Linked DNA regions of Drosophila melanogaster. The protein of the gene in region 2 interacts with the protein of the main gene of each other region in a pairwise test. Each region holds a gene or a part of one and is shown on either strand. Other genes may lie near its edges. The genes, in order: SamDC and stw.

Region 1 (4,496 bases), on a different chromosome or scaffold from region 2:
TGGCGTATATGTAGAAACAAGGAAGCACAAACCATTTTTAGAAGTAATTCCACACAGCTCGTATGTCCTTCCCAAATGGCAGCCAGAATGGGGGTAATACCATGTTTGTCCTTTCTCTTCAATAAATATTAGTTAATTACAATTAAGTTCTATTATTATACGAAGACCGGCATGTCTTAGGTGCACACCTGGTTCATTTGTTTAGCTTGAGACTATGACTAAACAAATGAAGGTGGTGCAGACGTGTATATATGTACACTAATATATGAAACCAGTAACTGACGAAACATTAATGATTCATGGCCGAGTAATTTGGCATTGTGAGCTACTTACATTTATGTCTGCTCCTAAGCTTATAAGAAACTCCAGGACATTCAGTTGTCCAAAATCTGCTGCATAGTGTACTGGAAAACGGCCCTTGATTTCCTCATTCACCTTTTGTGCCTGTATACAAATAGAATTAATTAATTCCAAAATTATTTAGAGTATTAGCAGCGCACATCATTCTGAAAAGCGTCTTGCACAGCATCGAACTCTCCGTTCTTTATGGTCCAAATAATGTCTTCATTAGAAATCGCACTCATTTTTATTTTTCTTTTGGGCCGACTTGTCAAATACTGCTAGGGATGGAACTTTGCCTGTGACACTTGTTCAGATCCGATAATTATTTGCTACATTTGGAATTTGCGAATTATCCAGGGTGTTGGTATATTTTAGTATTTTATATTAACAGTCTATTTAAAAAGTAATTGTACGTTATTTAGTAGTAGTAGTATTTATTATTTTATTTATTCGACATTTATTTTGAATAATTAATAACGAACGAAAAATAAATTTTGTTAGACATACGCAAAACAATCACAATTGCTGTTGGCTTTGGAATTTTATAAATTATCACCAGTTTTCTCACTGTGGGAATATTGTGCAAACAGAAGATTGTAAGATGGAAAGTTGCAACATTGCATGTCGGTTCGTTTCCAGTGCGATCCCTGTGAGTACTCCACTTCCAGTTCCTTCATAGTTTCGTAGGCCAACGAGCACTGATCCACAATATTCGAAAATTATTTTAAATAATTATACAAAAAGTGGAGCAACAGCTTACCTTATTGGCAAAGATGGTTACAATAAACTTTCCCGGCTTGAAAGTATTGATTACTTGATTGATAAGTTTACGATAGTTACTTAGAGCCACATTTGTTTCGAAGCTCACATACGAAAATTGATTCTCCGGAGTAATATGAATTGTCATGTACTCCCCCTATAAAGAATTTATGTCAATAGTTCTTGTAAAATTTTTCTATGTTACCTTATCGTTGATTCCATTCATGGAGTAGCCGCAAGGATCGAACAAAAAGTCATCAATGTGCATAGTCGGCAATATGGTATCGATACCAGATTTCTGAAATCACAATCTATATGTATTGGTTTTAATCATTTAAAATATATCCTCATACCACAGTAGCGCCATTAGCATCATTAAACTTGTTTTTATAGAAGATTGACATGGTTTCGGGATCTAGATCTTGCATTAATATTTCAATAGTTTGATCTGGATCGGAGTCAACGTTTTTCTCATCCGATATAAGTTGGGGCGTAATTTTGATATCAGAACGACTAAAAGTGTAGAGGTACCAACACTCCAGGTTCATGGAGCCCAGACAATAGGATCTTCCGTTGGGAAAAATTGAGTCCAGATACGTAACTTCCTCCGTAAAGCCTTGATGGGGAGTTATCTGAATATATATGATATAAAATCATTTGAAATGCAATTAATTTTTTTGCCCACCTGCGCCTCCGGTCTAGTGAAATTTTTTCGCGAGTAGAACAAGTCTGCGACCACATTGTATCCATTGGCCTCAGCCAGCTTAAGCAACTGACCCAGGCATTTCAATGGAGTAGTCGTTCCACAAGTTTTAAGGATCCATCGTCGCTTTGAAACAAACATACTGCTCTCACTGCTCGCACCGAATACAAATTTAAAATAATTAATAATATTTTATTAAGTTTAGTTTTATATATTCGCATACCTTAACACAAAAGCATCAATAATGTCGTTTTTGGATGTGCTTATTATTTGACAGTTGACATTGCTAAGCACGTTTTCCCAATCAGATCTGAAAAATATCATTTACATTCATTAAAAGTTCAAGGCTATTTGAATAAACATGTACACAATGCCTCGACCAAAATTTATTTTGAGATAATGAGGATTGGATTAATGGGATTGATTAAAACTCGTTATCAAACAAGGCCAAGGGTTAAGACCGATTTTTGAAAGCTTAATTCTAAGTGAATTTACAAAGTTCTACAGGCTGCCAGTTTAAAAAGAAATTCCCTTTAATAACTAATTTCTTGAAATTTCAAATCAAATTTGTATATCTTGAGAATCATAAATAAAAACTTCAATTTAATTTGGGTAGGTACACGTGTGCCGCATCTGATAAGCCTAAAAACCAATGTGTAACCTATTCCAATGGGACTATGTTATGTTTAAAAGATAATTATCAGTGTAGAAATACATTTCATTTCTTTTCAGGACGAAAATGAACGGCGCATATGTACGTATACTTTTGCCCGCAACTGTGCATGCACTTGTGCACAAAGGACATGTCGGCTGTTTGGGTTCCGCACTTGTTGAGGGACTCACCTGCTGATGTTACGCAGATCATCGTCACCGTTGGAGCTCTCCTCAAACCAAATCTCAAGGAGTTTCTCAACGCCCTCGAAGAAGTGCGAACCGTTCTCCAACATGCTGCTGGCTGGCAATAACAAATGGATCTGATCTGATACCAAAACAACGCCTGGTGATGTAAAGTAAACGATGGGACTATCGATGCGAGTGCTTGTTGTACTACATCGATAATTCGGGAGTCTAACAGCATGTTTCCACTTACAGCATTTCTCATTGAACAGTCGGCGGTAAAAATGTAAGTCCCTTTCTATTCGAATTAAGATACTTAAATATCTTTAATATATATTTTTTCAAATTCTCATCATTAGTTTAACAGATTTTTCGGTTGCTTATCCCATACCCCAGGCAAATAGTTAAAAAAAAACAGTAGAATTTGGATTTTCATTTTACATTAACCAGTTTTATTGTGATTGTTAAAAATTGTATAGAGTATTTTATTTGAAAAAATAAATGAGTAATATTTTTTGTATCTTAGCCTATTATGAAGTCCTTATTTTATTTAGACAATTTATGTAGATTCGAAAACAGCATTAAGTTTTTTAGTTTCTTATAATTGTATATAATTTAAATATTTCCTTGAAAAGTTTGCATTGCGTGATTATTGCTTTTTGCATAGTTTTACTATTAAAATGTTTTGTGGAGATTATTATATTATCACATGATTTTCGTATAGGCAAGAGATTTAAAACATTATTATTTTTTAGCTTTAGAAGTTGTTCAATTGCAAAGACAGCTGAAAAATCATTGTTAAAACTGAACTTTTCATTTTAATAGAAGCGATTTGTGTTATTAAAAAATTAAAAATACTGTAAAATGGTTTTAATAAATATAAATATAATAAATTTTATTTTTAATTTAATTGCATTAAGTATTGATGTCCTCTCTTAAGGTCTATATTTAGTGTGATATTATTTAAAAGTTTTGACATACTGGTTCAATTTTCATACCTCTTTTACACTAATAAGTATTTTGGTATTAGTTTTTAAAGATACAAATGAATAAAATTTAGTTTTAAAGAATGAAAATTTTATTAATAATCTATACGTATTTTTAATCCTATACCATTTGTTTTTCTCTCTTACGCGACCTCATAAATAAACAAAATGTGGGTTAAAGGTTCTTCTTTTTTTTTCGAAAAGTGAGTAGGGGGAATATATTTGGCGTTTTATGTTAACTTTGCATTATTTTCACTGGAAACAAGGTTAAGCGGTGCGGATAGATCCGCACTTTCACAGGTATCATTAAACGCCGGCAAAGAATTTGACTTCTTACGCCTTGATAAAATATCTTTAAGTGCTGCTGCGGCTGGGGTCTCGGTATCATCAATTTCCTTTTTGAATTTCTAAAATAAAAACATATTAGAAAATTGAAGTTTAAGTGTATTTAAATCTTATGCAAATAGATCTAGTTGATCAATCTACTTATCAAGACTTTAAAGTAATAGTGCAGATACATACATTTAAAACAAGGCCCGAAATGGCTAGAGATTCCCTAGCCGTCAAGAAATCTTGCTTCGTTGTTTCTATTGAAGAACATGATGACATTTGTTTGTGTTCTGCAAAAGAAAGTGTATATTTATAATTTTCGCAAATAAATCATACAATTAATAATGAAAGGCTCGTAGATATTTATTCAAACTTGAGCAGTTTAACGACTTAACAGGCACGTCCAATGCCATCTACAACAATGACATCATAAAATATGATTGGACAAGCAAGAAAATATTTTGGGTGGGTACGCGGTTAATATTCCGATTGCTAAATCAATAGCTTAATGAACATATTAACAGAAAAATAAATTGTTT
Region 2 (5,067 bases):
CAACTTTATCATATTTTCAGCAACGATAACATTACAAAAAAAATGTGTTGATTAAAAAAAGCATTTCTGTTTTGCAAGTTAAAGTTTAGTAATGTAATACCATTGTATTGTCTTTAACATTGAATAAATATGTTTGGGTGCCCGTACATACATACACAAATTTTCAGTTTGAAGTCACCTTGAATCAGTTATAATTTAAGGCTGCACCATTTAATACCCCTTGCAGACCGGTTTTAAGCTTAATAAATTTGTATTTTGATGTTGCATTCATTTCAAATAAAACATTTGTATTTATTGGTTAAGGACCACTTAGAAAAATGTTAATTAAGGAAGATACCAAATTATACTATAATTTATGTATATTCAAATCATATCTGCACATACTTGAATGATCAAAAAACGAGTACATCAACTATCAAATACCCGTTTATCCGTTAGAAAATTTCGAAATAATAACGTATGCATGTATTCCTAAAATATCACAACCAGCTTCTAGATATGTCGCGTATGTCAACAAGTCCTTTGGTCAGCTATGAGAGAGAGCGAGGCGCAAATGGATGGCGGACATTGTTCTTCAAAGTAACTTAAGAAACTTAAAGGCGCGACCACCAGCTAGGTTAATTTTTGTCGACCATACCACAAATAATTAAGAGTATTAGTAAGTGTAACGTAGGCAAATAAAGATATAAATGACAGAAAAATAATTTATAAAAAGTAAAAACCGCATTAAATATAATATATTTATATAAACATAAACTGCAAACAATGAGTTTTAATGACGTAGTCTAAGGCTAGACTTTCCCTTTCACCCTTTTCAACAAATCACAAGCCTAACTCCAAGTGTAATGCACAAAATCATTGTGATCACCTCATTTCAATCATATACAATACAATACATATACAATAAATTGAACTGGCTTTTCATTTTAGGAAGTTATGTACATGTATTTTTGAAAAAGGGTCAAAAATTCGATCACCTTCCTGAGTTTCATTTTTGACATATTATTGCTAAAATTGGATTTCAACACTTAAAACGTGTGTTTGATTAATGACATAAATCGCTAACACAGCTTCTAAAAGATGTGTAGATTAAAATTCAAAACAAAATTTCGATTGAAAGCGAAAAAACTTTTTTCAAGTGCGTTTCGGATATCTCTTTTTTTATCTGGTGTGTATTCTAAATCGAAAAGCAATGAAGCATAGATTATTTTTGTGAATTAATAAAAATTACAATCGGTTACAAAAAACTATGGAATAGTTTTTAAGAGATCATACCAAAAAATGATGGAAATGACGACCTCCGAATTGAAAACAGGAGTCAACTTTCATGACAAACGTACATAAATCTGCGAATATTATTATCCGAACATACATACATATCTGCTGATATTATTTTCCATGAAAATTGCAAAAAAAAAATTTTTAAGACTCACTCAAAATAGTTATACACTATTCTTAAAGTCTAAAAATTCTTACTTTTCTTTCTCAGCTAAAAAATTTACAAATAACTTTTACTAAATGGTCTGACAAAAGAAATCACTAGTATTTATCTAATATATCTTTATTTATGTTGGTTGTTAAATTCTTTTAGTTACATGCATATGTACATATGTAGTAAGTTAGAAACTATTAGCAAAGATCTTAATATGTTTTTTTAATGCTTTCCAATTTAAGACCGAAGTAAATAAATCCTGTTGTTTTACTTTAATCTTACAGAGTTTTCTTATTATCGGGGTTTCAACGATTTAAAAGTTTGAAGCTTGTTGAAGTGTTCGCACTTTCGTAATTTGTAGGGAGTAGCATGCTAACATCTGACAAGGTCAGCGATTCAGCAATTAAAAAGTTGAAGAAATACCATTATCAGTAAAATTAAAAAAGTATAACATTATTGCGCAAAGTAAGTGGTAGGCTAAACCAGTGTAAGCTTATGAAGGCTAAATATTTTGATTTCTTTATAAATTTGTTAACTTTAATATATATTGATGAAAAAGGCAATTTAAATAAAAAAAGTTTTAATAAATAACAAAAATAATGTCAGATACAAGCAAAATTTTGTGGTATAAGAAATATAGAAAAGAGCGATTAATATTGTAGTTTGTTTGTTTCGAAAATTTTACCTAAAGTGTAGGCAATTTTCCATTCCAGCCCGTCGTATGGGAAAATTTTAGAAAGTACGTTTATCTATCTACATTGGGTCCAATATGGCCAGTTCCCTAAATCTGTAGACTTGCACTGCTCTTTCTCCTAAACCATTCAATTTTTCTTTAGTTTGAATATTTATTCCCTTTCACTTTATTTGCACATACATATGTATTTAATTGTGTATAATTTTACTATTCTACTTCGTATGGGTTGAATAGGTAAAGACGGTATTTAAGTTTTAAAATGTTTTGATCCATATAATATATGGTTGGCCAAATAATCAACCTATAATTCTAATATATATATTCTTATGAAAACGATAACGGAAAGCAAGTGTGGCAAAACAACGTTTTGTCCTGCAAAACATTCCAATTAATTTACAGTAAAGATACCCAAAAGATCCCCCAAATCTTTGGAACACCCCTTGGAAATATAGTCATGTTTAGATGTATACGAGTATATACGTATTGCACTTAAATAATCATTTTAATGAAAGGAATATGTACTGTCGACAAATCACAAAATGATATTTCAAGACTTCTTAGGTGAAAAAAATTACCAAGATGGGATTTCCTTACCTTTCTTAGGTTGATTTTGCTGTGAGTTGGCAACACGTACTGCAAATACTTCAGGAAAATTGGAAAATGCACCCCATATCAGGAACGAAATAAAAGTTTGGTAAAATCCGTTAAGATCCATGGCTTTCATAGTTGTATGAATGGCGTATAATTTTATTTTTCACTATTCTTCTTGTATTTTTATTAATTCCTTTAAGCTATTTAACAATACTTTGGGTGGATGTTCACAACATAAGACTATATATTTTTAAAGTATGTGTACTAAGCAATAGCAACACCACCTGAATTGATTACGGCTTAATGAAGTACGAGCAACGCGTTTAAGCACCAAACTGAAGCGGTAGCTACATACGTACGACTATATAAAATGTTTAAGTAGAAAAGTTACTGCAAAACGAGCTTACGAATGAGCCAGGGAAAGGAATGGCTCAGTGAATCATGACATGGCTCAGAGAGCGCAAGAAATTGCAGCAGCCAACTTGATCACGATCTCAGAGCAAGTTGGTCGAGTCTAGAGCTGCCGCAACCTCACAAAAGCTTTACCAAAGCATAGAAAAAGAAAATGAAACGAAATATAACGGATCTTTATTGTATTGTTGTTGCCTAAATCATATGAAGGGAATGTTTTAAAGTTCAGACAAATAGATCTCAAATAAATGAATACTAAAGTGCTGTGCTGAGATTTTTGCATGTAGCTTTTACTTTTACTTATTAAAGGTTTACATATGTATAGGGCACCTTCAAAAAGTCAGCACATATATGCAAATTCTTAAACACGTTATAATATACTTGTTTAAAGTATTACTACTATTATAAACAAATGACATGTGTACAAAAATCAATTGAAAAGAATTGACGAAACTAAGAGGTATGCAACACATGACTACAAACATAAAATGCTAAATAAAATAGCGCACCGAAAGTGTAAATATAAATACATACGTAGAATATTAAAGCTAGTTAGTCGTTGGAGATGAATGCATGTTTCATTTTTTTTTATAAAAAGAATAAGAACAATTTATGATCAAATACAACAAAATTATAATTTTCTCTGTAATATTTTTAAATAATTGATACAGTGGATGCTTATCAAATAAGAACCAAAAACATATGTTATCAAAAAGTGTTTTAAAGTGAATAACGGCACTTTAAAATTATAAACAAGAAATGGAACATATTTTGTTATGTTTTGTTTTGATTATTCCAATGGTTATATCGTTTTCGTTCCGACTTCCAAAGTATATAATTAATAGGTAAGAATGTATATGTATAAAATAGAAGAGGAAGCACATAGATTTATAATTATACATAATATACGATACTAAATATATGAATATGTATGCATATGTACATACAGCTGCGGTTAAAATAATAGCACTACTGCAGATGGAAAGTTGATTTGCTAAAAAAAAATTATAAAATGTTTATTTTTTTTTAAGTCAGATTTCATGAATAATAAGTTCCATATGTTGGCTCTCTGAGCAAGAAATTTTTACTCTCTCAATGTAACGGTTCTTTTTGTTTTTGGGCACTTGCTGCAAAAGCGCGCGAAATGAGACGGTAACAAAAATAGCACTGACCACGTATTTGTTGAATAAAATTAATAGGAGTGATTTGGGATTTTTTTCGACAAATTTTGAAAAAAGGAGTTGTATTAAAGGTTTTAATTGAATTTGTTCCAAACGAAGACCAAAAATTCTCTAGTTATGGGTCGCGAAAAGCATTGTACCGTCGAAAAAAGAAATTTGATTAAAAACATGATCTCTGAATGTAAAACCTACGCTGAAATTGGTCGAATTGTCGGGTGTTCAAACAAAATGATCCACAATGCTGTTTGTCGAAAAGGACGAAACACGTGGAAGAAAGCCCTCAATGTCCAACGTGGAGATCAAGCGCTTGGTTCGGCAAAGCAAGAAGGAGCCTTTTAAGCCGGCGACGGAACTGAAGAAGGAGCTTCAGATAGCTGCAAGCGTGGAAACAGTTCGCAAACGCTTAAGACAAAACAACCTTAATGCGTGCAGTCCCAGAAAAGTCCCGCTTTTGACTGTTAAGCATGTGGCAAAGCGACTCGAATATGCCAAGATACACAAGGACTGGCCTGTGGAGAAGTGGCGCAACATTTTGTGGTCAGATGAGAGCAAAATTGTGTTGTTTGGTGGGAAAGGCTCTCGGTCTTATGTTCGGCGTCCACCACGAACTGAATATAATCCTCGCTTCACCTTTAAGGCGGTAAAGCACGGGGGATCAAACATCATGGTATGGGCGTGATTTTCATACTATGGAGTAGGTCCGATCCATTAGATTCAAGGCATCATGGATCAGCACATTTACACAGATCTCCTGGAAA

Evidence for each region.
Region 1: the proteins of stw (region 2) and SamDC interact in a two-hybrid assay, tested with the Drosophila melanogaster proteins (one large-scale study listed by BioGRID).

The regions. Positions count from the first base shown.
Region 1 is NT_033779.5:10,337,770-10,342,265, reverse strand, and holds SamDC (S-adenosylmethionine decarboxylase), read right to left. Parts: upstream 2,810-4,496; 5' UTR 2,752-2,809; coding exon 2,648-2,751; intron 2,115-2,647; coding exon 2,028-2,114; intron 1,956-2,027; coding exon 1,787-1,955; intron 1,734-1,786; coding exon 1,455-1,733; intron 1,400-1,454; coding exon 1,307-1,399; intron 1,259-1,306; coding exon 1,103-1,258; intron 1,041-1,102; coding exon 885-1,040; 3' UTR 763-884; downstream 1-762. Other genes in the region: CG31715 (uncharacterized protein), read right to left, coding at 33-116, 334-444, 501-584; GATAd, read right to left, coding at 3,858-4,034, 4,150-4,247.
Region 2 is NT_033778.4:5,411,735-5,416,801, reverse strand, and holds the start of stw (straw), read right to left. Parts: upstream 3,059-5,067; 5' UTR 2,851-3,058; coding exon 2,721-2,850; intron 707-2,720; exon of another isoform or gene 410-706; coding exon of another isoform or gene 385-409; intron 1-384.